Linked DNA regions of Nothobranchius furzeri. The protein of the gene in region 2 interacts with the protein of the main gene of each other region in a pairwise test. Links are inferred from orthologs where the notes say so. Each region holds a gene or a part of one and is shown on either strand. Other genes may lie near its edges. The genes, in order: mad1l1, tex11, cdkn1a, zinc finger protein 414, snx7, necab2 and hyi.

What was found.
Region 1: the proteins of tex11 (region 2) and mad1l1 interact in a two-hybrid assay, tested with the Homo sapiens proteins (2 studies listed by BioGRID and IntAct). The two-hybrid records come from large-scale screens. The link is inferred for Nothobranchius furzeri from reciprocal best matches to the Homo sapiens genes TEX11 and MAD1L1.
Region 3: the proteins of tex11 (region 2) and cdkn1a interact in binary tests that used the Homo sapiens proteins (3 or more experiments, as listed by UniProt). The link is inferred for Nothobranchius furzeri from reciprocal best matches to the Homo sapiens genes TEX11 and CDKN1A.
Region 4: the proteins of tex11 (region 2) and zinc finger protein 414 interact in binary tests that used the Homo sapiens proteins (3 or more experiments, as listed by UniProt). The two-hybrid records come from large-scale screens. The link is inferred for Nothobranchius furzeri from reciprocal best matches to the Homo sapiens genes TEX11 and ZNF414.
Region 5: the proteins of tex11 (region 2) and snx7 interact in binary tests that used the Homo sapiens proteins (3 or more experiments, as listed by UniProt). The two-hybrid records come from large-scale screens. The link is inferred for Nothobranchius furzeri from reciprocal best matches to the Homo sapiens genes TEX11 and SNX7.
Region 6: the proteins of tex11 (region 2) and necab2 interact in binary tests that used the Homo sapiens proteins (3 or more experiments, as listed by UniProt). The two-hybrid records come from large-scale screens. The link is inferred for Nothobranchius furzeri from reciprocal best matches to the Homo sapiens genes TEX11 and NECAB2.
Region 7: the proteins of tex11 (region 2) and hyi interact in binary tests that used the Homo sapiens proteins (3 or more experiments, as listed by UniProt). The two-hybrid records come from large-scale screens. The link is inferred for Nothobranchius furzeri from reciprocal best matches to the Homo sapiens genes TEX11 and HYI.

What each region holds. Positions count from the first base shown.
Region 1 is NC_091744.1:8,655,153-8,659,744, forward strand, and holds the start of mad1l1 (mitotic spindle assembly checkpoint protein MAD1), read right to left. Parts: upstream 2,975-4,592; 5' UTR 2,840-2,974; intron 2,149-2,839; 5' UTR 2,102-2,148; coding exon 1,958-2,101; intron 1,870-1,957; coding exon 1,729-1,869; intron 1,585-1,728; coding exon 1,405-1,584; intron 1-1,404. UniProt on the Homo sapiens protein: Component of the spindle-assembly checkpoint that prevents the onset of anaphase until all chromosomes are properly aligned at the metaphase plate.
Region 2 is NC_091741.1:84,252,053-84,255,989, forward strand, and holds the end of tex11 (testis-expressed protein 11), read right to left. Parts: intron 3,243-3,937; coding exon 3,129-3,242; intron 2,915-3,128; coding exon 2,839-2,914; intron 2,755-2,838; coding exon 2,605-2,754; intron 2,515-2,604; coding exon 2,406-2,514; intron 2,310-2,405; coding exon 2,189-2,309; intron 1,565-2,188; coding exon 1,397-1,564; intron 651-1,396; coding exon 582-650; 3' UTR 540-581; downstream 1-539. UniProt on the Homo sapiens protein: Regulator of crossing-over during meiosis. Involved in initiation and/or maintenance of chromosome synapsis and formation of crossovers.
Region 3 is NC_091743.1:46,701,294-46,704,743, forward strand, and holds cdkn1a (cyclin-dependent kinase inhibitor 1), read right to left. Parts: upstream 1,783-3,450; 5' UTR 1,652-1,782; coding exon 1,649-1,651; intron 1,515-1,648; coding exon 1,064-1,514; intron 982-1,063; coding exon 926-981; 3' UTR 615-925; downstream 1-614. UniProt on the Homo sapiens protein: Plays an important role in controlling cell cycle progression and DNA damage-induced G2 arrest. Involved in p53/TP53 mediated inhibition of cellular proliferation in response to DNA damage.
Region 4 is NC_091749.1:7,742,723-7,747,109, reverse strand, and holds zinc finger protein 414, read left to right. Parts: upstream 1-1,375; 5' UTR 1,376-1,598; coding exon 1,599-1,650; intron 1,651-1,879; coding exon 1,880-1,990; intron 1,991-2,206; coding exon 2,207-2,312; intron 2,313-2,379; coding exon 2,380-2,813; intron 2,814-3,115; coding exon 3,116-3,273; 3' UTR 3,274-3,505; downstream 3,506-4,387. Other genes in the region: mtch2 (mitochondrial carrier homolog 2), read right to left, coding at 4,214-4,300. UniProt on the Homo sapiens protein: May be involved in transcriptional regulation.
Region 5 is NC_091747.1:35,678,088-35,682,824, reverse strand, and holds the start of snx7 (sorting nexin-7), read right to left. Parts: upstream 3,155-4,737; 5' UTR 2,968-3,154; coding exon 2,884-2,967; intron 1-2,883. UniProt on the Homo sapiens protein: Involved in the regulation of endocytosis and in several stages of intracellular trafficking. Together with SNX4, involved in autophagosome assembly by regulating trafficking and recycling of phospholipid scramblase ATG9A.
Region 6 is NC_091744.1:83,491,601-83,496,038, forward strand, and holds the start of necab2 (N-terminal EF-hand calcium-binding protein 2), read right to left. Parts: upstream 2,962-4,438; 5' UTR 2,844-2,961; coding exon 2,517-2,843; intron 1-2,516. UniProt on the Homo sapiens protein: May act as a signaling scaffold protein that senses intracellular calcium.
Region 7 is NC_091756.1:55,263,435-55,266,688, reverse strand, and holds the end of hyi (putative hydroxypyruvate isomerase), read left to right. Parts: intron 1-45; coding exon 46-115; intron 116-1,992; coding exon 1,993-2,127; intron 2,128-2,205; coding exon 2,206-2,264; 3' UTR 2,265-2,571; downstream 2,572-3,254. UniProt on the Homo sapiens protein: Catalyzes the reversible isomerization between hydroxypyruvate and 2-hydroxy-3-oxopropanoate (also termed tartronate semialdehyde).

The DNA.
Region 1 (4,592 bases), on a different chromosome or scaffold from region 2:
TAGCGCACTGCTTTCCCCCCTGAGGCGCCGGATGGTGGACCAGAATCTTCTCGAAGCCGTACGGAAGTCTTGCTCCATGGTCTCCCCGAATTCCTCCCATGCCCGGGCTTTTGCCTCGGCAACCACCCGAGCCACGTTCCGCTTGGACTGCCGGTACCCGTCAGCTGCCTCTGGAGTCCCACAGGCCAAAAAGACCTGATAGGACTCTTTCTTCAGCTTGACAGCATCCCTAACCGCCGGTGTCCACCAGCGAGTTTGGGGGTTGCCATCACGAAAGTCACCGACGATCCTGCGACCACAGCTCCGGTCGGCCGCCTCAACAATGGAGGCACGGAACAGGGTCCATTCAAACTCAATGTCCCCCACCTCCCCCGGAACATTTTGGAAGTTCTGTGGGAGGTGGGAATTGTAGCTCCTTCTGACAGAAGACTCTGCCAGATGTTCCCAGCAGACCCTTGCGATACGTTTGGGCCTGCCTGGTCGGACCGGCATCCTCCCCCACCATCTGAGCCAACTCACCACCAGGTAGTGGTCAGTTGACAGCTCTGACCCTCTCTTCACCTGAGTGTCCAAGACATGCAGCCGCAGGTCAGATGAAACGACAACAAAGTCGATCATCGAGCTGCGGCCTAAGGTATCCTGGTGCCAAGAGCACATATGGACACCTTTATGTCTGAACATGGTGTTCATTATGGACAATCCATGATGATGATGATGATGATGATTTGATTCCGTTACAACTGGTACATAAGTCCAATAACAAAAACCACTCAAATTCAGATCGGGGGGCCGTTCCTCCCAACCACACCTCTCCAGGTCTCAGTCGTTGCCCACATGAGCGTTAAAGTCCCCCAGCAGAACGAGGGAGTCACCGGAAGGAGCGCTTTCCAGCACCCCCTCCAAGGTCTCCAAAAAGGGTATGTAGTCTGAACTGTAGTTTGGTGCATAAGCACAGACCACAGTCAGAACCCTCACCCCACACGTAGGCGGAGGGAGGCTACCCTCTCATTCACTGGGGTAAACTCCAACGTACAGGCACCAAGATGGGGGGCAACTAGTATGCCCACCCCTGCTCGGCGCCTCTCAGTGGGAGCAACTCCAGAGTGGTAGAAAGTCCAGCCCCTCTCAAGGAAACTGGTTCCAGAGCCAGAGCCATGCATTGAGGTGAGTCAGACTATATCTAGTCAGAACCTCTCAACCTCACACACCAACTCATGCTCCTTCCCCACCAGAGAGGTGACATTCCATGTGCCAAGAGCCAGCTTCTGTAGCCGAGGATCAGACCGCCAAGGTCCCCGCCCTCGACTACCACCCATCACACATTGCACCCGACCCTTTTGGCCCCTCCCATGAGTGGTGAGCCCAAAAAAAAAAGCCAGAAACACAAAATAAGTCTGTGCGTACCTGGTTGGCTGCATTTAGCAGAGTGTCTCGTTCCTCCAGTTTCTTGTTCAGACCTTCCACTTTCTTACACAGAGAACTGTTTTCCTCCAACTGCTCTGACAAGTTCTTTTTGGCTTCGGTCTCCCTTTCCTCCAATTTTCTAATGCGCCCCAAAAGTTCTTGATTCCGGTCCACTTCATGCTGGAAAAAAGAAAGAAAGACGTAAACAAGGTGGATAAAAGAACACTGAAGAAAACTCTGTGTGTAGTACATCTAATAAAAACACATCAACCAATCATTTTATACTGTGATAAATCAATGTGCTGCTATATTTGAGTTGTGTACCCCCAAATCTCGTGCACTTTCAGAGACCGCCTTCTCCAGCTCAAAACGAGCTCTTTTGTGACTCAGTTCCATCTGTTTCTTTTCCTGGTCCAGCTGTAGATAGCGATGCTGAGTGTGAACCCGCTCTGCTGCTTCCAAAAGCTAAAACAAAGACAAAAGAATTAACCTGCCTTATAGCTAAATATTGATTTTACTAGAATTGACGATAAAGCAAAGGATTTCTGTTTACCTCCATTTGGCGTTTGTACTGATTTTGCAGGTTTCCACTTTCCGCTGATCGCTCCGACTGCAGCTGAGAACGTTCAGGGCGACTTATGAAGGTATTGAAAGACCTCAAAGTTGTTAACACAGTAGTGTCATCTTCAAAATCCATTGTATAGACCACTGGTGTTACTGACTGCACACAATTTAAAAAAAACTCTGGAAATGAAAAAGATTGAAACATCAGAACTTCCTCAATGACAAACACGGACAAGAGCATAATTTCACATAAGTACCATATTTAAAAAATGCTGTAAACCTAAAACTAGCTAGAAATTTTTGCATTAGTATTAATACACAGCTATTATTAGTCAAATACACCAACTAATTTTAAAATGTATTTCTTATCTCTCCAATAAAAACGTCAATTTTGCATATAACAAGGTTAGTTGTAGCAATTTTCAATAAAAGTAGAGAAAAACTAAAACTCCGTCCTTTAATAAGCAGTCACAACACTGTCTTTACCATCTATGTGTGTGCTCTATTGCTTAGCATGTCTTTGTAAAATTACAAACAGAATAAAGTGCATATCAACTTTATAACGTGGATTTGTAGCATAATCATTCATTAGCTTCCTTGATTAGCTCAATAATGGAAGCAGAACAAGTAGCAAACAAGTAGATAGAATGTCTAACATGTAGGCTATTTGATTCGTTTTCAAGTTCGGTTTTTCTGCTTTTTAAAGATTTCCAAGACGGTGAGGTTTTGACTGTTGTTTTTAGCCATGGACTAGCTACACAAGCTAAACATTAGAACTAACGGCGTTTATGCAGCTTCTCAAAACACGTCACAAAGTTATTAATGTTAAAGTTTTCATCAATGTACAACTTTTGGCAACATAACACCGTACCACATAAACGTCTGTAAACAGGTGGAGGTCTGTCGCAGATAAGTTATCCCCACTGCTAACGAGTTAGCACTTTAGCTGCTCGTTGGAAAGCCCTCCAGTTTTACTCGAATGGGATGCACGTAACATCGCGAGACTATCATTCTCTATCTTTTTCTTTTTTCCTGTTAATTTTCTGTGGCTTCAATTCAAATGTATCATTCGTGTTTTGTAGCAATGTTCAGAAAAACTAAAATAAAAATACAAGAATACAGCAAGTCAATAGAAGTAATAGTTTTTTTTTTTCATTTTAATTATTAAATGAATTACATGACTAAAGCTGTTGGGCTTTTCTGTGACCAAAAGGACATTTCAGTAGGCTAACTCAAGGATGTGTGTATATTCTATTGCATAGATTTTTCTAGCCTGGCCTACCTGACTCGTCCTCTGTTTAATTCTGCACAGAAAACGAGTAGAATTAAACAGAGGAGTCTTGCTGGCCAGGCTAACATTTTTCTGCATAAAGACAAAATCCCTAATTTGTGTAAACTTGGAAACAAACCTAAATCTGATTTTATTTAAATTTTATTTACCACAGAAATTCCAATATATTTAAGAATACTATTGACCTGCACATTTGTGTATGCTTTTGAAACCTAAAATCAGGGCTTACAAGATCCGGGAACTATCTTATTTTGAAAGGACTGTTCTGGCCACTGTCTGCTAGGATCCGGCGACTCACGCAACAAACTGGAAGCCCTCAACACACACCCAGGGGGAGCCCGAAACGATCCTGGTTCTACTTACAGTGGGGCAAAAAAGTATGTAGTCAGCCACCGATTGTGCAAGTTCTCCCACTAAAATGATGGCAGAGGTCAGTAATTTACATCATAGGTACACTTCAACAGTGAGAGACACTGATTTACAAATAAATTCTTTAAAAATCCTGCCATGTGAATTCATGGATTTTTTTTCACATTCTGTCTCTCACAGTTGAAGTGCACCTATGATGTAAACTACTGACCTCTGTCATCATTTTAAGTGGGAGAACTTATCGGTGGCTGACTAAATACTTTTTTGCCCCACTGTATATTACATTGTCTATGTGGATTCTCCAGGGATATTTAATTTAAGTAAGAGCTGAGAGGCGCAAAGCTCTGATCATTGGTGCGCTCCAGACAGACGTGTCCTGAGCACGGCCACAGTAACATTCTCAAAGTGTCGCCACCTCAAAAACAAATTTAACACGCAATTGTTTATGCCTGCTCATATCCTTTCATGCTTTCTGTCTTTTATTTGTGCCTGATGCGTTTTATTGCTGCGGTGCAGAGCGCATCACCTGTTTAGTCCTCCAGTGAATTCACCTCACAGGTGCGGTCAGCGCTCACTCCGCTATTTTCGCGGTCGGTAGATCGTTTTGAACTGTAGTTCAAAGGTAACTCATGAAGTGAAAAATATGAAAACAGGTAACAGTTTTTCTTTAGGATTGAGGGGGGATGCAGGAAGATAATAAACAGACAGGACAGAAAATAGTCACATAAAAAACAAGTTTGTTTTCGTATCGGGTGGTTGCTACAAACAGACACCAATGAAGGTAATCAGAAGTGAGGAACAGAAAATGAAATAATTATTTCAATGTTTAGATCAGCAGGAACTCTGAGAGGCTGCAGGTGCATCAGTGAGTTTGCGGCCGCTGCACAAAATCTAAAAAAGAACTGAAAACCTACAGGACACATAATGTAATAATAAAATACATAATGGGTTCATATATGAGTGT
Region 2 (3,937 bases):
AACTGATGAGGGTCGTTCTGATGAGAGAAATAATGACATGCTTTTATTTTATGGGTGGGGTAGGTTTCAGGGTTCTTGTTTGTACTTTTGGGTGATGATGTTTCTGTTCTAGCACACATGTGCAGTAAGTGCTTGCAAACATGAACCCTTTGATTGTACAGTAGTTTCCTTCCTGTCACTGCAGGTGGTACAGCCTATCAGGACACTCGGCCTCATGGTCTTCCCTGTCCTAGTCATGAGGGAATGCAGTCCTGCAACTTTTTGTTTGGGGTTTATTTTGGGACTTGACAAGAGTTTATTTGTTTGAAAATAAAATATGTGACTCAGTTATGATTTGGATGTGCTTGTTATTCCGGTTTGAGCAGCTTTGGCTCGGGCTTGAAAGTCAAATCATTGCAAACTACAATTTTAAGAGTTTGTATTTTTTTTAATCAGGAAAGCATTACGATGGGTTTGCAGTAAAACATTTTGACATTAACAAAGAACAGGAAAAGGTGCCGTTAACAAACTTGATTAACTCGGCTGAAGTTTAGACTCGGAACACAGTTGATCATCCAGATGGGAACCATTGACCTGGCCTTTTAGTTTTCCATGGTGTTCTTTTTTGCTTTGTCCAGTTGGTCCAGGATTTTACTGTAGAGATCCGACATCTGCACACAAACATCTGCATTAGATAAAACCTCTATGTCGCACAAGAAACATCTGTTCCTTTTGAAAAGAGGAAAATACATTTGTCTTAAAGGATACGGTTAACAGATTTCATCTTAATGCTAAAGCAGTGTTCTGGTTGGCAACACTGACTTTCACGCTGAATGTGGAATGGATGCAGTCTGTTTAGGTCAATGATCGTTGTGTCCAATCAGAGCATTTACACCAGCTGCAGTGCAGAGCTCTAGAGACTCTCTGTATGGACACTGCATGCAGATTGTCAAAGTTAAGAAATGACCTTAGCCAGTAAGGGAGAGCGATGTACATTCGGTATATTTCCAAATTAATCTCATGTTGCATTATTTTATCCGGCTTTAGTTTTATTATTGACCGAGACATAATATTTCACCTTATTTTTACAGGTATATTTACCAAATTTCTAATCATTTGGTGCTCATGTGGGTTAGGGTTAGGGCTCGCTAACTGCACCTGTGGGTGCAGGAACAAAGCCTGCTTGGTGCAACTACAGGAGAGGTCACCTTAAGAGCTCCTGCCAGTTTCCTGTTTTGGTGAGGCCTTTTAGAGGCTGCTTTTAATTTTAAAAATGCCCCTAAACCTCAGAAATATAATCAGTCTCTTATATCTTGCCATTTCATGAGTCGAGCCGTAACATAAATGGGGGCTCATCCGGAATATGTCAAACCGTTGGAGACTAAACGAGCCGGGTCATAACAACCATAATGTTTACCTGTGCCTCGTAGCTCTCCCGCAGAAATCCCAAATGATGGACAAAGCTCATAGCCAGACCACACCACTTCTCAGCCTCCATGTACTGGTTCAAACTGTACAGCATTATGCCAGTGTTCCAGGCCTGAGTCAGGAGCCACAGGGTCTCCATCTCTGGGAAGACATCCGGCTGCATAGGAGGCAGGAAGATGTTCAAAAGGCCATTTAACGGGGCCACCTGGGTGACTCAATTCACAAAGTTGTCTTTAGAACGACGGAACAGCAAGAAGGCAAGTAAACTTTCATCAAATCCTGTGCTGGTTGTGTTAACCTTTTACTATCACTGGAACAGGAAAGAAAAATGTGAATTGACTCATTTTTATTTTTATTTTCTCCATTCAGATTCCCCAACACTTAAAGCTTGTCCCTTTACTTTGATCCAAAGAATTAAACAGCTTTCAAGTGAGAACTCCCTCTGAAAGAGGAAATACGTGCTGCCTCAAAAGGAGCATGATGTCTGAATAATTCCACATCTCAGAGCTGCAGCTCACCGGCAGTGTGATGATTTGTACGGCATATTAACATTGAAACTGGCAGGAAGGGGCGGTGAATGGAAGCCTCTGCTAATTGAACTGCAGCTGAAAGCCCATTGATTTAAAAATAAATAAATAAAGGAGAAGGAGAGAGATTTCTAGAAGAGAAGGCAGCCATGGTGTGAAAGAGAGGGCTTAATTACATAGCACGACACATTTCTGTTGGAGAAAATGGGAGGTGGGAGCCGAGGGATGTCTGTGTGTGATTGGTGCCGACTCACTGCAGCTGATATGATGGACAGGGCCTCCTCGAAGTAGTCCCACACCTCAGCCAGCGCACGGGCCTCCACCTCTGCCACCCCACTCGGGAGGGACAGCTTGATCAGGTCATGAATGCACTTGCTATGACAGAGACAAGCCGCACAATCAGAAACAACCTCCACCCCAGTAACTTAGAGGAAATGATGAGGGTGGTGTATGTTTGTGGTGTAGTGGTGCCTGCAGTGGGCCAGATCAGGCTGGGACTGCTTCTTGTGCAGAGAGAGAGCAATTCTCAGAGCCTTCTTACACAGTCGAGGGAAGTAGGCAGGAGCTTCCATGGCCAAGGCTTTGTTTAGGGGGCGATATGAGAGCATGCGGTAAATACTACCAAGAACTACAAATATGTCTGATAAGGACAGATGATGCATGTTCTTACCCGCCATGGTCTCTAACACTTTGGCTTCAACGTTTTCAAGCTCCAGTACGGACTCAAGTATCACCTCAACTTTTGTGTCATTCAGCTTGGCGCGAGTTTCAAATTCATACAGCAGCAGGAGTGACTCTGTGGGGTCTGATGGAAAGCTTTCTATAAAAACATGAGGACAAATGTTTAGTTTTTCATGAAAGGTTTATTTCTTCCAACTTCAGCCGCGTTCGATTTTAATTTCACCTGATGCTTTTAGGGTTTTCCAAACCTCCCAGCAGGTCTGAATGTACTCCAGAGCCTGAGTGAGCTCCTCCTCCACCTGTGAGCCAAACAAGAGGAGTGAGGATTCTGGATTCTCTGTCGCCATCTAGTGTTAAGTTCCTTATCAAAGGCAGAGAGGGATTAAACTGAAACGCCTACGCCTGCACCAGTAATGTGGTTAGTCACCTCTCCTCTCTGCTGGTCTTGGTAAATTTCCATCCTTTCTAATGGAGAGCGTGCTAAATGTATAGGATGGTGAGTGGGTGGCACACCTGGGCGGAGTAAGGAGAATTCCTGCAGAGCTCCAAAGAGGCGGCAGCGGCCATCAGCAGACAAGTCTTCTGGCCCATGAGCAGAACGCGGTCAGTAGGGCACAGCAGAGAGAGCTGAGAGGTCAAAGAGCAAAAACAAACAAATACATCTTGAATGCAACTTTAGTTAAACAAGATGGCATTTCCTGTATTTTACATCAGAATGGTGTTGGCTCTAAAACATTGCATAACTCATGGAATGCCAATGTGTTTGGGACTATTTTTATAGCCTGTGGTAATAATAACCATAATCCATTCTTTAATGGGTATTTTATTCATCAGTCTTCCAGTGAACATGTTTATTCCCACACTTGTAAAACCAAAAAACAAAAAGGTTCATGTCAGACCATCTGCAGATGTTTGTTGTTTATATTTTACTTAACACTCCCACTGTCCTAATGGGTGTGACCCGGTGAGGAAAGCTGACCATTGAGCAGGACTGATGGTTTATCCCTTGGGTCCATGTGGCAGGGGTGAGGAGTGAGCACCACCTCACCCCTGCCACATGGACCCAAGGGATAAACCATCAGTCCTGCTCAATGGTCAGCTTTCCTCAACGGGTCACACCCATTAGGACAGTGGGAGGGTTAAAGTAAACCGGCTAAACCAACATCACATACAAAACCCACGATACAAATCTACTTGGATTTGATCTAACAAACTTCTGGTTAGAAAGTCAAGGGTGAGCAGTAAACATAATCATTATTCCCAAAGCAGCCTTTCATCCCGTTCAGGTGTCCTAATCTCCCTTCATGTACAGTAGATCATGA
Region 3 (3,450 bases), on a different chromosome or scaffold from region 2:
CCCCAATCCTGGTCCTGGAGGGCCGGTATCCTGCATGTTTTAGTTTGAATTCTGTTTCAACACACCTGATTTCAATCAGCAGCTCATTAACAGGCTTCTGCAGAGCCTGATGAGCTGCTGCACAGGCGTTTCAACCACTGAATCAAGTCTGTTGGAGCAGAAAAACCACAAAACCTGCTGGATACCAGCCCTCCAGGGCCAGGATTGGGAACCCCCGATGTAAAATATAATGCACTTAAAAAAAAAACTCCTATAAAAAGACGTAGAAAAACAATTATAGATTTGAACAAAATAGACAAAGCTCTCCTGTTTTTAGCTTTCCTGCGGCTTTGCCACAGAAACGTATTAATCTGAGTCCTGATATTTGTTCGCACGTCTGCTTTTCATCCTCAAACAGGCAGAAGTCCCACCAAACTGAGATGTGATTGTGTTTTAACCCTCTGGAGGCAGGCATCGCAGATCTGCAACAGTTAAAACCTACCTACCTGGTTACTCCACACAAGTATCTCATGAGCATTTTTTAACTCAGAAGCACCCCTGAAGGACTTAGTTGTTCGTCCTTTTATCAAAACGAGACCGAGAGGGTTAAGAGCTGTGTGACGCGCCGTAACAAATGTCAGTCAGCAATTTGGCGAGCTCTCAGTCCAAATGAGTATAAATCCACTGATTCCAGAGATTACTGTTAATCTTCTCTGCTCAAATGTCACCTTCTTAACTGCAGCGTGGACAGAAAACACCAGACCCCTCACACATGCAGCATCTTAATTAGCCTGGTGCCTTCTGGGTTTTTTTTTTCTTTTTTTTGTTTTTTTTTTGTTGGATGATTCAGCACTCCCGCTGCTCGGTGTGGAACAACTGATTCCTGAAGGAGGTGCTGGTTCTTTGTCTGGTTCTCTTGGGAGTTTTGGCACCTTCAAAGGAAATATCACTCCCCGGATTTCCTCGGCAGCCAGACAACTCTTCTTTTAGCCTGATAGAAATCTGTTGGGTTAAAGAAGAGGATACTTAGCTTATGAGAAAAGATGAGTGTTTCTAATTTGATATAAAAAATATCTAAACATACCTGTAATGTTTGTCTGTTTCCTCTTCATTCCTGATTTGTCTTCCGTCTCTGATGTTGTCTCCATGTTCTCCAGACTCAGAGAACATTTCTCTAGAGTTTGGGGGAAGTTCTCTTTCTCCCTCTCTGGTACCACCACCCTTCCTCTTTTGGTTGCACCTGCTGACCTTTGACCCTCTGCATGTCCTGCACAGATGACGCTGGATCTGTAGGGCAGTGGCACCCTGGTACCTGGGACAATCTCCCACTGGAAATCACCGCTCTCCAGAGGTTTGTCGGAGAAGAAGTCGAACCCCCAGCGTTGGGAAGCCTCCTCCAGATCTTTACGCAGGGCAGTCCGGTACTCCATCTGGAGCTGTTCTCGGTCCACTGGGCCAAACAGGCTCCGCCGAGGGGGACCGTTCCTTCTTAGAGTACTGAGGGCTCGCTTGTGAAGTGTAGCCATCCCTCTGCACTGTAGGTAAAAACAGGAAAACTGATTAGTTTCAAAAGCCACAATCTATTTTGTCCACAGTCTAAAAAGTACACAAACTAAATGTTTTTAATATTTTCAAACCAGTGATTTAAACAAAGTTTAGTCAGACTCACCATGGTTCTAGCCTAACAGCTCCTCAGTGAACTAGACTGCTTCTGTGAGCTGACGGGCTTTTATAATGCAGTGCAGCAGCAGCAGTGAGTCACTAGCCCTCCTCTCTGGTACATGTCTGGGCATAATCTCTCACAGGCATGTAAGGGCAAGTCCTCTGCTGTTGTGGTGTTTGGTGTAAGAGAGATAAACCACAAGGTGGCACTGTCACTCCGACTACAGACAGCTCGGAGGCAAACACCAGAGAAATAATTCATCTTCAGTTTACGTTGAAACTGAGGGAAACATGTGACTGTTTTCTGACTCTGACCTGGGAAACAGGTCATTCAGACCATCCAAGAAGGAAGGAAGCATTCAAGGAAAACAGTCCCTGCCCGTCCAGTTACGGTGCAGCAGATGAGATTGGGAGATGAATAAAATACGTTATCAGTGATTAAGAGGACACGAGCTTATTTTACAGAAGCTGTTCCAGTTATCTGCAAACGGAATCTGGAAAAATCTGCTTCAATTTGACGTGAAGATGCGTTTCAGTAAAATACTGATTAGTGTTATAAATAAAAATGTGTCAATGAAACAAGTCATCTGTTATAATCTGATATGATTCTGATTTTTATTTTCATACAAACACAAGCACAAACCCTTTTTTCTGATTCATAAAATATGAGAGTGAAATATGTCTCTATTTTAGCTTGATCTGGCTCCTATCATGGAGTTCAGTTTGGTTTGTTCATGAGAAAAAGAAGGGCCCTTTGCATTTTGATCAAAATTATCTACGTAGTAAAGTCAGTTGACTACAGTCTGTATCAGAGTTTACTAAAAAATGGGTTTGTTGGACACATCTAATGACCACTAAGACTATGTATGCAGTGTTCAACGCTCCCACCCACAGCACAGGGCTCAGAATAAAGCTCCCCAATTGTGGGTGGATCATTAGGTTAATAAAAGGGTTTGAAGGATCCCTGCTGGATCCCTGCGCTGCCCTGGTCCCACAGAGGAAGGGGGAGGGCGTTTCTTTTACTGGGCAGGGTGGTTCTGGGAGGAGTGACTCAAGCTTTGGCGGGAGAGCTAGTCATGCATGACTGAGTTGGACCCAGCCCAGTTCAGCTACAACTCTGCTCCACGTGAGTCTGGAACTCGTGTCAAACTGGGATGTCACAGTTTGGACTCACCCACTCTCTCTCTCTCTCTCTCTCTCTCTCACACACACACACACACACACACACACACACACACACACAGACATGTAAAAAAAACTAAAACCACCAAACAAGAGTTTATGGATTTCCTGGATGTGCAAAAATGAGATCGCAAAGATCCATTTATGTCAACTTTTCACACCTCTAGGAACACATTAGTCCTGTAAAAACGTTTTTGTTCTTCAAATGTTTAGAATACAATTATTAATGAGCTACAAAAGTGTATATATATATGTGTGTGTGTGTGTGTGTTGAGTTTTAAAGGTTGTGAAATCATAAATCTTACTCAGATGCTTAGAAGCTCTTTTAAATTTAACAACTACTAACTTCTTACATATAAAATAACATCTTTAATGTGTTTTACTTACATGTTGAGCCAAATCAGGTGCAGTTCGCTTCTAAATCTCCTCTCTTTTAAAGCTGTTGTCTACTGAGTCAGCTTTTCCACCTCCTCGCTGCTTGTCTCCAAGTTTCAGTGTGATGTAAGGCAAAGTTTGAGAATGAGGTAACTGATCCTAAAGCCTCCACAGATCCATAGGATAAAGAGTATTAGTGAGTCTCGGAGAAATCTACAAGTGTTCTCAAAGCCATGGACAGAGACTCCACTG
Region 4 (4,387 bases), on a different chromosome or scaffold from region 2:
TCAGTAATGTACCTGTCCACCACAATTCCTGGTGACATTGGGTATGACCAGAATTGATGACGTTCAAAAACCACATTCCTCTGCGGGCTACAGTATGTTTTAAATGCTTTCAGGACCTCCTCCACTGTGAGTGCATCTCCGGCTGGGGTAATGTTGAGTGTGTTGTACACTTCTAAGGCCTCCTCGCCGATAGTGTGAAGAGGCTATTTTTACCTCTTCCTCCTTTTCTGATGCGCCAGTGGCTATCATGTAGAGCTGGAACCTCTGTTCCCACCTGCGCCATGCCTCAGACAGATTGCCGACGAGACTGAGTGAAGACGGCGGCCAAAACTGCTCCATTTTATCTTCTTGGTAGCAGACGTTAGCCCCGATGCTTATTCATCTAGCTTACTCAAACCGTCGTCTCTGTTCTCTTGGCAGCCAAACTTCTGACACCATGTTGTGTTACTGGTCTCCTTAGGTCTTCTGTAGGGTTTCTACTAGGTAATTAAACACTGAGACACAGCTGTTTAGGTCCAGCGAACTTTTACTTTCAGCCTCAACTCTTCAACCCCAACAGCAACACATGTGACACTAGTGCCCCCTAGTGATCACCGTCATAACAGCATGTACATTACAGTACAATACACCACACTTCCAAGACCATTTTTTATCGTGGACACATTACCGTCAGACTAATATTTACTGGATGCTATACATGCAACTACTTGTCAAAATAACTATAATAAATGTTGACATATAAAAATATATCTGAATGGATTTTAAGGGAATTCTCTGTTACATATTTTAACAAATTTTACACGTCTGAGCGCGACAATTTTTGGCCTACCACATTGCCATGGTGAGTTTGCTGCTTATTAGATGAGGAGTCATAAATGGTCAAATAAATAGCCCTATTGTTACATTTATTTTGGCCAAAAGGCTTGCATGTAGCCCATTAAAAATTATATAAAAAATATTTTGCGTCCATGACGTCTTCCCCCACTGCCAATAATGCTTAACTTTATAGAAAAGTGTTTCAGAAAAAAAATCACTAAGGCGCTATCTATCAAACTATGTCTTAAACGTTCAAATTTAACGTAAAAAATCGTTGCATGTTGTAAAAATATAAATCTGTCTTTACCTGAACCGTCATTTCCACCTGGTGTAGCAACACGCATGCGAGTTCGTCTTCGAACACGCAGGCGTATTTTGTAGGGGCCACAGGGGCGTGGTTTGTAGTGGCTGCGGCTGCAGCTAGACCTTACTCCAAAATGAAGCTTTTTGTCTTTTTGCTCATTTGTTTACTTTGATTCTGTTTGGGGTTTGTTTTTATTTTATTTATTTATTTGTTGTTGTTTGTACTTCCTGTTCATTATCCTTCTTCTATACGTTGGAATTCAGTCTGTTCTGATACTATCTCATGTTGGTAAAACTGATTCATTGTAGAGATTGCCATAATTGTTGTAGATTAAATTTTGTGCAAAAAAAAAAACTTACTCCAAAATGAAGCAAGCGACACGCCCCCTTCCTGCTCGAAGCCTCGCTTCGTTTGTTCCATCACTACCGGAAACACACCACACAGCTTCCGCTGCTGTGGTTGAGCTCAACCTACAGTTATGATGTCTCCGGTGTTCCCCGCCTTGCCAGCACCTGAAGATGAGAACGGAGGTTTGTGTTTTGCGTTGACGTCCTCGTAGTTGGTTTTGTTATTCCAGTTCGTAACAAAGCTAACGATTGCTAACCAACTTACATTGCAGTTAGCATAGCAGCTAGCATAGAAGAGGAGGTTCGAAATGATTGATACATATCTGAAACTGGATTTCTTCAATTAAATAGCCAGCTTTTCCGTTTACGTTGAACATGTGTCGTTTGTTTAAACATCACTTCCCTGTTTTAGCCCCGAAGAGGGTGGCCTGTCCGCTCCACGGGTGTAAGCGGGCTTACACAGAGATGAGCGTCCTGCAGAATCACATCAAGGACCACGAGATCGCGGCACAGTCCCTCCCAGGTGAGTCCATATCCTGCTTGGTCCATAAAATATCATCTCAGAGCGGGATAAGTCAGAGAGAGAGCCTGGATCATCCTTAGATGATGTCTGATTAGGTTGACCGTGAGTTATTAAAGCCCCCGTGGTCGGGGCAGCTGGCAGTCTGACCCAGGTGGTTCGTGTGTGACAGGAGGTGAGGTGATGTCATCAGGTGAACAAGGTGTCTGCTGTCCACAGGTAAGGTGCTGCTGTGCTCCTCCGCTGGCTGTGGCAGGTCCTTCCCCAACATGCAGAAGCTGATGGAACACATGAGGCATCACCATAAGCCCAACATCTACTTCCAGTGAGTGCTGCTGCTCAGCGTTGCTGTTTTTGTTCTGGTTAACTCCATGAAGCTTCTGCTCCTTCAGGTGTGAGAGCTGTCGCACAAAGCTGCGGTCCTACCGTGGCCTCCTGGCACACCTGCACACCTGTTCCAAAGTGCCCCGAAGCAAATCAAAGGCTACTGAACCAACCCCCCCTCTGTCTGCTGCTGCTGGTCCAAATCTGACCACTAATGCTGCAGAGCAGCAGCCCCCCCACTTAGAGTCAGTTTGTTCAACCCAGCAGGTCTCCGACCCACAGGAGTCCCTCTCTGCTGCTCCTCTGCTGGACTCCGCTGACCCCCCTGTGCTAGGCCCCCCCATCCTGCCTCTCCAGGAGCCTGTCCCCCTCCCTTCGGGCCCCTGTCCCACCCCCTCTCATGACTCTGATACTCCTGAAGCCCAGAGCAGGACCACGGGGCCTTTCCCACCTGCTCTTCACTCTCCTCCTGGCTCCTCCGCTGTCTGGAAGAAGAACCAAGGTGAGACTTTTTCTAGTTTTCTGAAACCGGCTCCCTCCCCTCAGCCTGCTCTGTGGGGCATCCATGTTCTCCTGGTAAGCTCCAGTATTCCCACAATATCTTCATTAACCAGGAGACTGCGCTAGATGACCCTGGTCCTCTTCAGCCTGTCCCTTTGGCTCTTTAGATGAGGTTGAAGAAGGCCATTAAAACCTCAGAACACGACACTAATGTACTACATCTACTGGTCAGAGTTGTCGCTGACAGCAGTTACCTCTCACCGGCCTGTCTGAATAACCGCTGCAACTGTCGCTTTTCTTTAGGGACGTCCTGCAACAGACGTGTCCTCTGGGAACACACTAGGGGGCGCTACACCTGCGTGCAATGTGGACACACGGTGACTAACCGTAAGGAAATGACCCAGCACATCAACAGTCACCACAGCGGCACCAAGGTGGCACGGGACCCAGGAAACAGCTGACGCCGCGGTCCGGGCCCTGGTTTACCGTCAGCTTTTCTGAGAAAGTAAACTTGATAAACATCCTGTTGGGACTCTTGGATATTAGGGACCGACTGCTAAAAGAGTTTCTCCACCCGAAACTGAAATCTTGTCTGTACTTATTTCCCAGAGCTAGATAAGTGGGAGAGAGCAGCCCGGTCATTCTGCTCTCCTTTAGCTTAGCATAAAGCACCGTAATTAAATGATCCAACTAGCATCGTGAGCCCTTCAAATCCCTCCGTAGTGATCCCAGTTCTGCTTGGTGACCTAAATCAGACGGACTGCAGGTGAAAATCATCACAGGCGCCATTTTAGATTGAACCTTACTGCTTTGGCATATCTAGTTTAACGGTGTTTATACTAAGCTAAAGCTAACGGCGTACAGCCAGGTTAATATGGGTGGCCTGTCCCTGTAAAGCTGCCCCAACCCTGAGACCCATCGGCAGGTGTGAGAACCTAAAGGAGCCCACAGAATAAAAGCTTGTTGTTGAAACCTTTACTGGTCCAGATTTATTCAGATTCATCACAAAAAATACAACCTTTTTCTCTTGTACGTGTTGTAAATGCAAAATGTGTTATTAACTGAAAAGATTTCCATTACAAAGGACTGGTCTGCAGCGGCCCAGTAGAAGACCAGTAAGGTTTGTGACTTCTAGGAAAGGAGAATTAGTTACCAACCCGTGTTTTACACAGTCGTGAACAAGAGGAGCACAGCTGGCTCCGTCAGAGGGAGCAGTCTCATCCCGGCATTTACTCCGCTCCTCCACCCGTTACTACACACTACCACATGCAACGTGTCACCACCTTATCTAGCAAACATTAGGGGCGGTCACCCTGTCGTGGTTTCAGACGACAGCACACTGATAAACAGTTGAGTCGACGCTGTCCGCCCCGGGTTCTCCGCAGCTTCGGTTCTGCAGCTTTAACAGAACCTCTTCTGCTCAGATGTGTAAGTCTTTCCTGCAGGAAGCTTCCGAAAAAACACACTGTTGCCTCGGCTCAGGTCACCCTGGAATGAGAGAGAACACGTTGGTCCTTGTGGATCAGACCAACACACACACAGTTCTGTTCTCCTCCAACCAAACACGTGTCCTGA
Region 5 (4,737 bases), on a different chromosome or scaffold from region 2:
TGTGTGTGTGTGTGTGTGTGTGTGTGTGTGTGTGTGTGTGTGTGTGTGTGTGTGTGTGTGTGTGTGTGTGTGTGTGTGTGTGTGTGTGTGTGTGTGTGTGTGTGTGTGTGTGTGTGTGTGTGTGTGTGTGTGTGTGTGTGTGTGTGTGTGTGTGTGTGTGATGACACGTTGGTACAGTGAGTTGAGGTGAAGGTCTGCTACGGACTTCCATCATGAAACCCTTTACAATTAAAACCAGAATTTCCATCTTTGGTTTGATAGAACAACTTCTCAGTAAGTTTTCTCTGAGTGAAACCTACCAGAACCACAAGAACACGTGTTTGGACCTTAGACAACTGGTTTGGACTTGGAAAACTACTATCTGACTGGAACAAAGAGGCTAGCATTAGCCTCAGTTAACAGTTTCACATGAAAACCCATCAGCAGAAGAGACGTGGACGTGGGTTTATTAAAGACTTTAGCAGAAGGAAATGTGTGTGTATGCGCACGCGCACACACACACACACACACACACACACACACACACACACACACACACACACACACACACACACACACACACACACACACTCAGAACTTCCTGAACTGGACATTAAAGCAAACGGACTCATCAAAAACCCTGTAGATGTGTTGTTGTCATATTCAAATTATAATGCTTATGCAAACATCAGAGCTGAAAACCTGCTGAGTTCACAGATATTCGACACTCGTCCTCTTCATCGTGAGGCTGTAAACACAGCTATGTCTGCAGCGTTAGCACAGAATCACCGTGACCGGAGCCAAACTTGACCAAAACCAGACACCTTTACACCAAGTGTTTTGGTCAGGGCTGAAGCAACAGGAATGTTTACCTACCAGAGCAGCCAGGGGCAGCAGATTAAGCTGGAGTTCAGGTTTCAACACCCAGCTTCTGCAGCTAAAGGTCTGACTGCAACACAAGTCCAAACCCAGCTCCTCTGTTCCACTGAGCAAGAGGAAAGAATTCCACCATCATTAGCTGCAGCTGCCTTCTGACACACCAGCGAAGACTGAACATGAGGCGAAAAACCTTAAACAGTTCAGTTTACTCTGAAGACTCTTTATCAGCTAAATAAGAACAGAGTGTGTGGATCAGACCAACAAGCTGTAAAGTAAACAGATCCTCAAACCCAGGTCCTCCAGGGCCAACATCCAGCATGTTCTGGAGGTGTCTGTGGTCCACCACAGCTGTTCGACAGCACCTCAGCTACAGAAACCATCTAGCTAGCCTGCTAGATGGTGCCTGATCTCCTTTCTCCTCTCGCTCTCACGCCCTTGTTCACATTAATGCACACAGTTGATAGAGCTGCAATCAGACCTGTAGCTTCTGTTGTAAAAATGTGTTTTGTTCTCATATTATGTGATTATAATGCTAGCCTGGTAAGCCATCTGATTTTAGCGACTGCAACGAGTCTTCTACATTTATACGCTGGTTTAAAACACGATATCCAATAAAATATCTATGTCGTGTTAGTGCCACCTACTGGTGGTGCTGAGTAAAGTGCTCTGGGGTTCGCATGCCTTGTTTGAGCAGATGACTGAGACACAGAGGCTGCTGGAGACCGAAAGCTGGAAAACCATCTAAGGACAAAATAAAGTGTGAATAACAAGAAAAACGGAACATGTTGCCTGCGGTTGCTCTGAAAGGCTCACATTTAGGCTTGTGTACTTATTAGAGTATTATTATTTTTCTACTTTATTTTTAAATTTCAAAATTGACTATCTTCTGTAAAACTTGGAGAAGGTACTGAATGATTGTTTTGGAATAATGGTCATTTTTCAACTGTTCATATTTAAGTATTTTTTTCCACCAGCTGCCATTGGGCTACTCCTTTAAATGGGAAATTGTGGCTTCCCTTTTTACCAATAGGACGAGGCAGAAACGCTAGTCCATTTCTGTTTATGCTAATGTTTCGGTATGCTGGTGTGTTTTCATATTGTTCTATACTTGAGTTGTCTCTGCGGATGAGCATTTGATTGATTCCATCTTTGTTCTGTCAGGATTGTGTTTTATAGCAATCCTGTAAACACACACACACACACACACACACACACACACACACAAGATAAAAGAAAGGAAACCCCGTGTGTGTGTAAAGTTAAAGGCTGTTTAAATCTGGACTTTAATCCAGAAAACCACCTGACATTTTGATTTGATCAATCTGCGTTAACAGATCACCGCTGAGGATAAAAGCAGAGGAAAACATTAAACATCACCTGCCTAAGTACTCTACAGCAGGTTAGATGTGAACACAAACCTCCTGCAAATGTTTTATTCACTGCATCTGTAAATTCTCACAACCAGTTCTTCAATTATTTGCGCTTTTAGTCAGAAATGCTGCCATAACCTCTGTAATCAGTTTAAAATGTGAGGAATGGAGCTGTAACCATCCATCAGCTGTAGGACACACCGGTCCCGGTTCGGTTCTGAAGGCCTCAACACCATCTCCCATTCATCTCCGCCCCTCGTTATAAATGTAGATTCACTCACTTTAAAAAGCAAGCCAACATCTTCGGACAGAACTGACGAAATCAGCTCACCAGGGTGAGCCGAACTGACGACAGAACCACTTGTTTTAGTATAAATAAAGAATCTGATTAAAGTTTTTAGGTCCTGCCAACTGATCCCCCAATCACTCCGAATCTGAACGGAGTTTGGCGGAAAGCTGAATACTCTGGAGTCAGCACGGACAAGACTTTTATTTTGAAGAGTCGCCTGATTCTAGACGTTCTGAGGGAATGCTAAGTTTCTGTTTTTTAAGTCGTTATGTGTTAAGTTAAAAGTTACAGAGAGATGAGGCTAAAGAGCAACCAGAGCAAACCAGACTGAGGGAGTTTATTCGGTTTAAAGGAGCTCCGCTTTACCTTACTGTAAACCTCCAGGTCTTCGTCCTCGTCCAAGTCCAACATGTGGTCTGAGATGTCCGCAGGGACCGTGTGTCCACTCATAACACTGTCCAACTTTTACAAATCAGCTGTCTACTCCGAGTCAAACTTCCTGCACAAGTTTTGTGAGACAAACACAAGAGGTTTGGTGGAACAGCACTTCCTGCAGGGTCTTTCAAAATAAAAACATCTGGTCTGCCTAAGGAGTTTCCTCAGATCTCAAACTGCTAAACGCTCACGAACACTGATCTGAAATATAGTATTATATTATAATGTATTTGAAACAAGAAACTCGCTGATAGCTGAATATGACATATCTGATGTTTGGAATTAGTTCTTTTTCACTAGGTGCTCATTTTCATTAGACCACTCATCATCATCATCATCATCATCATCATCATCATCATCATCATCATCATCATCACCACTGATGGGGGGGGGGGGGGGCACACTTGCCTGATGACAAGTGGTAGACCATTCCACACTCTAGGGCAACTAGGTTGAAACCGGGTCCAACTAACAAACACTGATCAGCCAATCACAAAGGCAGCATGGGAAGATGATGGCACCGAAGCCCCTGTAGATGAAGAGATCACCTACTGACAAAGTATGGAAAACAAACAAGAGAACCTTGAAATCTATCCTAAAACAAACATGAAGACAAGGAAGGTCAGTCAAGATGGTGTGACCTGTTTAGTTCCAGTCCAAAATTTCACTGCCAAGTGAAGCACCTGTTGCTTATCTGCAGGTGTCACACACAGTAGTCCTGGTGTGATGTTATGAAGTATGGACTCCATCTGATTACCTTTAGCAAGGTGATGGGAGGTGAAAAAAAAACATGACACATATTGAGCCTGTCAGACAGGTAGTGTTTTCTTTAACATTTAGGTCAACTTGGTCATTTTAATTGAATAAAGTTAGGTCGCAAACCAGTTATTCCTGGGGCCAATGAACAGGGATTTTATATTTTCTGACAATTAGTTTTGGGCTTTTTTCAGGGATTTAGTAAAGAAGAGAAAACACGAGCAGCCATTTCTGTTCTCATGTGACTTATTACAGGGAAAATAACATGAAATCTCTAATGCAGATTTGACTGGTTGCTAGAAACTAGTCAGTAATAAAACAAATTTCAGTGATTCGCCAACCCAGTATCCGAAATTATTTATGCTTTTATTTGGAAAATAAATATACCAGACTTCCGGTTACACACCATTTTTGCTTTAGATTCAGGACCGAACGGAAATGCGGAAGAGACCGATTCAACCGTCTGAGACGCACTGGCGCAAGAATCTGGCCTCAGTCTGGGACAGAGGTAAAACTGTCAGGGAGGTTTGAAATAAAAGTAAATGCAATCCCAGATGCCAGATGTTCCAATGTTAACATGATGTGTGTGGAAAGGCCTCGTATTTAAAAGCACGGATGTCGGAGGTCCAGAGTAAAACCTTAAATTTACCAGAAAAATAAGATCTTTAACTGATAGATAAATGTTTGTTTCCAAAAGTAGTGCTGCATTCAGGGACAATCAATGGGGCCATGGCTTCAAAGGAAGAATCTGAACATGAACGTGTGCAAAGATAACACGAACAACACACAATGAGGAATTATTAAGTTAATAAAGTGGGTGGCTTATTTCAAAAGTAAGAAATGTTCTTTAAAAGTTGTGTTTTATTAGAAATGTGAGTGAGTTAAACTTCACAAAAGAGTTTAACAGTGGGTCGTGTTTATCTGACAGGGACTCGTAATGTGTCTAGTTTTCAGTCCGCATCACACATTTAAAGGGTTATTCCTGGAGCCTTACCTTCAGTCCTTGGAGTGATGTGAGCAGATCTCCTT
Region 6 (4,438 bases), on a different chromosome or scaffold from region 2:
AAATAAACCAAGATGGTTAATAAAACCAATTATTTTGAGAGTTCTCTTTTGTAAGTACAGTAGCGTATCATCTGCTAAACAAGAATGTTTCCGGACTAAAGAACGGAGCGAACCTTTCAACAACGTTCCAAAAACCTCTCAGCATCTGATTATCCAGTTTGTGTGAGTTCCTATAGATTTTCTGCAACAACTTAGTACAGAAATATGAATTTTTATTCACAAAAGTACTTGATCAAACCAGTTTGAACCAGTAACCCACCAGGTATGAAGTCCTAACCTGAGACACATCAAGCACTATTTCTTAATCTTGTTGTATTTCTTAAAGTAACACCATATCTTATTGTTTTATTTAGTTTTAAACTCAGTATTTTCAATCGTTAGTTTTTCATATTTCAAGCCTAAAGAGTTAAATTGAAGCATTGTGTGTCTGAAAACAGCCTCATCTAATAAATGTTAACACCTAAACACTGGATTATTTCACAAATCTGTAATTTCTTTAAACATTTATTAATAATTTAAATTAGCTTTAGTGTAATTGTTTTTCAAGGTGTCCCTCAGGGCTTACTTTTGGGGTTTCTTCTTTCTTGTTTGGGTCACTAAAATAATGTTGTTTCTCACCAGTGGAAACTACTTATTATTCTTGCCTCCAAGAAATAATTTAAGCAGAAAATTAAAAATAAAAACCTCTATGGAACCCATAGATTCCCGTTTTCAGGAGTTTAAGGAGGGAAACCTATAAAATAGTGAATGTTTGTGTCATAAACCTCCTTCCAGCTGACAGAAGAGTCATGCTGGGAAAACAGAAACCAGCTGGTGAATAACTGGTAACGGATCAGACTGAATCCCACACAGCTGGACCGGAGTTAGCTTACCACACCAAACCGAACCAACCACAGCTGCAGCTGAACAAGCTGGGAGTGAATCTGAATCATTTTAGGGAAAGCTCCCCCCTCCGAGGACCTTCAACGTTTTAGAATACTTTCATCATGGAGGTTGAGGATGAGTGACACACGAGCCACCGGCAGGACAAGACGTGCTGAGTGATCATGAGATGCATTTTAAAACAATATTAAAGAAGATATTTGTAGAATAAAACGAGAGGATGTGATCTTTAGTCACATATTTTGAATTTGGTCTGGTTGGATTAGTCAGATTACAGGAAATCTAAAAAAAAATGTGCTTTTCAAAGACATGATCTTCTGAATAAGATGAATGTTAACAGTAGTGACCAAAGTCAGAAGTTAATGGGCAAACAGATCGTGACGACCCAAAAACTTTTTTTTTTAGTTTAGTCAGCTAAATTATTGCACAGAAACTCATCAAGACATTTTTGTGACTAAACTCTTAAATAAAGGGCAACAGGAGCTGAAAGAGCCGCACTCCAATTGAAAAGCTGCTCTGCATCTGCACCCTGGGCCATGTTCAGCTTCTCAGAACAGAGCTGGAGCTGCTGGAGTCAGGGAAGCTTGGGAAGGAGGGAAAGAGTCTCACTGAGGAGGAGGAGGAGGTGATGGTGAAGAGTTACAACAGAAAGAGACAAAAAAAACACGACTAAAGAGAAAGACACAAAGAGGAGGCATGCCTTCACCTTAGGAATATGCTTCTGTTGGAAGAGAGGAGACGGAATAATAAATGGGTTCACGGTAGACTCAGAGAAGGAGAACAAGTCGGTCTAATGAGGGAAATGCTGCATTCAGGGACACACCAGGAAGCCCATTTGGTGTAAAGTAAGAATATTGGGGTCAGATATGCTGGAAAGGGGCCAGAAAATTCACGTTTGAAAGGTCAAAGTTATGCAGAAAGAAGAAAATGTCAGAAAAAGTTCAAAGGCTGGTGTCAGAGACTCAGCTGGAAACAGTTTTAGCTGCCAGGTAGTTAAAATTTGTGTTTTTATATTCTGGTTTTACTTGTTTTATTGGCTTTAGTTTGTTGTTCTTTAACTCTTATCCTTTTTACTTCTTATGATATGCACGACTATTTTAGCTTGTTTTTTATTTATTTGTCTTTATGTCCAGCGCTTTGGTCGGTTGTAGTGCCGTGTTAAGAGCGTTCTACAAATAAAGTGGTATGGTATGATAGAGAGGAAAAAAGAAAAAAAAACGTTTGAAAAATCTTAATTTATAACAAGTTGGGGGGGGGGGGGGGAGGTCTACACAACGTGTTTCTACGTTTCTTTTCTTTTTTTCTACTGAGATCAACTCGTTTTAAAGCACAGTAAAATAAAACTGGGCTGACCTGAACACCAGAAATGCTACAGGCACGCAGTTATCACTCTGAAGGTTAACACAGGAACATGTCTGCAGCGCAGTTGGAGAGCCTCAGGATTTATGTGGACTGACAGTTAAAACGTGCAAAGTTTGAATTTTCTGATATGGTGCAGATGCAGAGGAGAGGGACGCCGGTTTGATCCCGGACACCTAAACTGTCTGTGCGTAAGTGCGCACCGCTCCCTGGATGTCTCCATGCACCCACCCGCTCCTGGCGGGGCTGGCCGCCTCCCGGTGCCTCATACTCACATCCAGAATCACCGAGATGCCTCTCCGCGGCTCGGGGGCGAAGAACTGCTCCTGGGCCACGGCCACCTCCTCCTTGCTGGAGGCGTACTCCCGGCTGGAGACGTTCTTGTTGTCGCTCATTTTGGTGACGATCCAGCGGACGAGCCCGTCGATTCCACCGGGCTGGGCGCCGCTGTTTCCGGACTGCGCTGCCGTCGCGGACTCGCTGTCCTGACCGGCTACGGGGTTCGGCTGCTCTCGGCTCTCCTGGGCTCGAAGTTTGGCTTGTTCTTTGTTCAGCAGTTTGTGGACTCCGTCCCTACAGTAGCGCGCTGCCTGCTCACACATCCTTTTGCTGCGGAGCGCTCATGCTGCGCTCTATGGGGGAGAGAGAGGCGCTCCCACCCCCACCTCCTCTTACATCACAGCATCCACCCCAGAAGCACCCGCATCCATCCTGTACCCAGTAGCATCTGAATTATGACTTAAACACTTCTGTTTGGTGCATCTAAGGATGAAGCCTTTGGACGTGCATCGCTCCTCTGGGAAAAAGCAACACAAAAGCTGTTTCTTCCCCCTTTAAGGTTTAGTGTGTAATCTGAACAAAGATGCTCTTCCTTTAGACCGCAGGAAGTGCTGCATCCCAAAGGGAGGATCAGAGGGCTTTAGCAAAAGGAGTCCCCTGAACTGTCACTCCAGCTGCTCATTAGAGCTTTATGTGCATGTGTGATGTGACAGATCTAACCTTTAGTAATGAGAGGCTCCCCAGCCCAGCCCTTTCCGGCTGCTGGAGAGACTTTTCTTCAGTCCGCCACATGTCCAACAGCACCAAGCAGCTGGTTTGGACAAATTAAGACATGCTGGGAAGTTGACAAAATAACTGAAAGGCTGTGAAGTGAGTAAAAAGACAAATAGATCTATATATCTCAGCGGCCCCATGACAGCAGGAAACTAAAACCCAGTCACTTGACATGATTGCCCCCATGTGGAACTGAGCGTGCAGTGGCAAGAGGAGTTTTCTTGCTACTGAACAAATGAATTAAACCACATTAATCACCTACATTTTTTAAATTTTAACCTTTATTTAAATGGATGAGTGGATTGAAAACTCATTCTCCTTTACAACGACGATCTGGCCAAGAGGAAGCAGCAGCAGTTAGCTTTACACCACAGACAAAACAGGTGAGATAAAATTCTGATAAAACAGTTAGGATTGTTCTCATATATAATGTGTAAAATCAGTCGAAACAGATTTAAAACTGTCTTTAAGTACTCAGAAGCACATTGATCAGAAACTATTGATCCCCATGAATTATTGAAGGTAGATAATGGATCGTGTGAACTTCAGTGATTTTTTTGCAGCGCATTCCAGTCGTTGGAAGCAGCAAACTGGAATGAGGAGCGGCCAGAGGAGGTGCGAGCTTTGGGAATAACTTTAGAGATGAAGCTACTGGAACGTAAATTGCGCTGGTTGTTGGAAGTGGAGTAATGAGCAGGGGTGGACTGGGACCAAAATTCGGCCCTGGCATTCTTACGAATTGCCGGCCCTCCCCATTGGGAGAGCGGTGGGGGTTAGGGGTGTGGCTGCCTGCGGACTCGTCTCTAAGCCGAATGTGAGCTCTAATATGGACTGGGACTGTTAAATTACAAGCAGGGCCAGTCCGCCGCGACCGGGAGCCCTGGCCTTCCGGATCAGCTCATTCTCCACAGGCGGAGATCAGCGGGACATTAGCTACATGCTAACGCTGTAAAACAACTCCTACGTCATCGCTCTACTGGGTTTTTTTTTTCTAAAAATGCCTGGAAAAACTCTGTTAGCTTCGGGTTACCATGTATGTTCTACAGATCACCAACTGTGTAGTGTCAGCCCAAGCTGGGCAAGCAGCCCACTTGGCTAAGCGGCCCACCGGGACAGTACCAGAATGCCAGATAGGCCAGTCCAC
Region 7 (3,254 bases), on a different chromosome or scaffold from region 2:
TTCAGTTTGAGAGAAAACGTTTGTTAAACATCCCACCTCTTTCAGGATGTCTTTCACTGGCAAATAATGGATGGAAACCTCACACAGAACATGCACAAGTATTTCCCCCTGATAGGTGAGTCCATTTGAGGGGCTGTGAACGAGCCGTTTCTCCCCTCCCTGAAAACACTGATCAGGTGATCTAGGTGGGCCGTCCTCTCACCTGAAGCAAAGCTTAAAAAGCAACTGCAAGCACTTTCAAACAGACTTGAATCTGCACCGAAGGGCCTTGAGTGTCTGTTAGTGCTTGTTTTTGTCTTCTTAAACTTTTGCTTTGCACTGTCTTCCATTTGGAAAGAGAAGGAAACTCATCTGTGTGTAATCCTGTTGTCTTGTAGCTCCAGTTTGGGCCAGCTGAAAACAATAAGTGCAATCAGGGGCTGTGATTGAGCTGTTTCTCCCCTCATCAGGTGCTCTAGGTCTCAACCATTGCAATCAGCTGCTGCATGAACACCTGTTTCCAACTAGTCTCTCTGACATATAAAAATGGATGAAATCCCACCATCTCCAACTCAACCTCTCTAAAACTGAACTACTTGTCACCCCTTTAAAGATCATGTCTGTTGCTCGTTCATGCCGCTTTGCACTGTATAACATAGGAAAGATCAGACCATACCTAACACAACATGCCGCCCAGCTCCTGGTGCAATCTACTGTCATCTCCTGCCTCGATTACTGCAATGCCCTTCTAACTGGTCTTCCAGGCTGTACTGTGAGACCTCTTCAAATGGTCCAGAAAGCAGCGGCGCGTCTGGTCTTTAATCAGCCAAAAAGAGCACACGTCACCCCTCTGTTCATTGAGCTCCACTGGCTACCGCTAGCAGCACGCATCAAATTCAAATTTTTAACACTAGCATACAAAGTCCGAGACGGTACGGCTCCCATCTACCTGAATCCTTTTGCAAAGGCTTACGTCTCGTCCCAGCTGCTGCAGTCATCACAGGATCGTCGGCTAGCAGTGCCTACACCACGCTCAGGACGATCCAGACTCTTCTCATGCATCGTTCCACAAATGTGGAATGACCTTCCAAGCACTACCAGAACAGGGGCTTCCTTTTCAATTTTCAAGAAACTCCTGAAGACCCTGCTCTTCAGAGAGCATCTTCTTACCTAGCACCCTCTCTGCACCCGTACCTCCCCTCTCTACTGTCCATTCCTTGTTCCCTCCTCTCCATGACTGATGTCAAGTTGTTGTTGTTATTGTTGTTGTTAGCCTCAAGGGCAACATGCCGATTATCACTTGTAAGTCGCTTTGGACAAAAGCGTCTGCTAAATGCATAAACAAAAATGACAGATGAGATCTCATGTCTGGTCTTATCTTCAGAGGCATCGACGAAAGCCGAGTCATCTCCTCTTTAGTATTCCTGCTGATGGGTGGCAGAGGATCTAAAACTGGCTTTGAATTTTAGATCTTGGTTTTGACCAATATATCTTATGCTCTGGTCTATAACATAGCCCAGATGAAGGTTGGTGGAAAAGTAGTTCTTGTCATCCAGGTGGCAGAAAAATCCTGCTTTGTCAATTATAAAAAAACACATTGGTTTCATTGTAGACAAATTTTACATTTTATATGCATTTTCTTTTAAATATGCACCTAATAGCTTATATCTGTTCTCAGTGTTCCTCGCATACAAATGTTTAGGGTTTCTGGCATCCTCAGGCCTCTGATCTGCCTTCATAGATTCAAACATGGTTTCAAAATCTGCCCTGTAAACCAGTGTGTTAGCTGCTCCGGCTGGAGAAAGAACCAGGTGGTTATTGGGCAGAACATTTAGATGGCTCCAACTAAGTTACGCTGGTTCTGACTGGAGTTCCACAATGAGTCATACCTCATTTATTGGTGTTAAACACAAAGTCCACTGGCTTGTATGTTCATGTAGGACAACATTTGTCCAGCTGAGCTAAGCATGCACAAATAAGACAAGGCTTCTTCTGAATGGTTCTGGTTCTCAGGTCATGTTCAGGTCGCCCAGGTTCCTGGCCGGAACGAACCCGACTCTGACGGAGAGCTGAACTACAGCTACCTGTTTCGTACGCTGGAACACCTCGGCTACCGGGGTTACATCGGCTGTGAATACAAACCCTTTGGTCAGTCTTCCCTCACCTCTAATAGTTGATCCACTAATTTAAAACATGTCGGCTTATTGTCTCATCTGTCTACTGCAGAGTCCACCACCAAGGGTCTGGGTTGGATCCAGCAATACTGGACACACGGAGCACAATGAGCTCAGACAGAAGACACCTATCTGGAGTTATTTCTGTTTTAACTGCAATGACCCTATAAAGATGATCAGCCACAACATTAGAACCACTCGGCCCAGCTCAGCATTCCTTTGGAGACAACCAAGTCCTCCTGGTGGGGCAGGGGTTCATTGCTGTATGTTCTGAAGGACCATCTGAAAACATCATCAAAACTCAGACCAAGTCTTGTTGAAGATATTAAACTGAATAATTTAATCTTTAGTTCTATAATCACGTGTAGAACTGATGCCTTAATATGCACAAATATTAAACATTTAAATGTTAACGAGACTTCGATGTAATGTACATGATTACATTTGTTTACTGAAGAGGTCTGCATGACTTATTAGGGGTGGAACAAAATGAAGGTTGATAGAGGCTTTAAAAATGACCTGTTTCACTTCGACAGCAAAGCCACCCCTGAGCAGCTTCTTGTTCCTTTAACCACAGCTGCTAATAACATTAAGTAGAAGGTTCCTGAGACCAAAGCCCACCTAGACCTCATGTACCCAAGAGGAACTGTTCCCCCAGTTGATCAGGTGGTAGAAAATGAGCCAAGGCTGGAGTTCACCTAAATGCTCGAGCTCCTGGGAGAACACCTTTTGAACCGACGAGACAAAACTGGAGCTTTTGTTAAATCACCTAAGCTGTAAGAACACTGGACCTAATGTGGAGACTATGTTCTGGACCTGCTATGCTGCATCTGGACCAGGATGTCTTAAATCTGTTTAAGGTCCAATAAAGTCACAGGTCATGACTCTTCCAACAAGATGAGGCTAAACCTACAGCTAAAAACACCCAAAAGTGGATCAGAACCAAACATTAAACTATTCTAATGTGTATTAACCCTGAACTAGAACCTGCTGAACATCTGTGGAAGGAGCGAAAACACCTGCAGAAGGAAGTTTTCAAATCTGAAACGGCTGGAGAGGCTTTCTCATGAGGATCAAAATACCTGTGCTCAAGCGAGACGT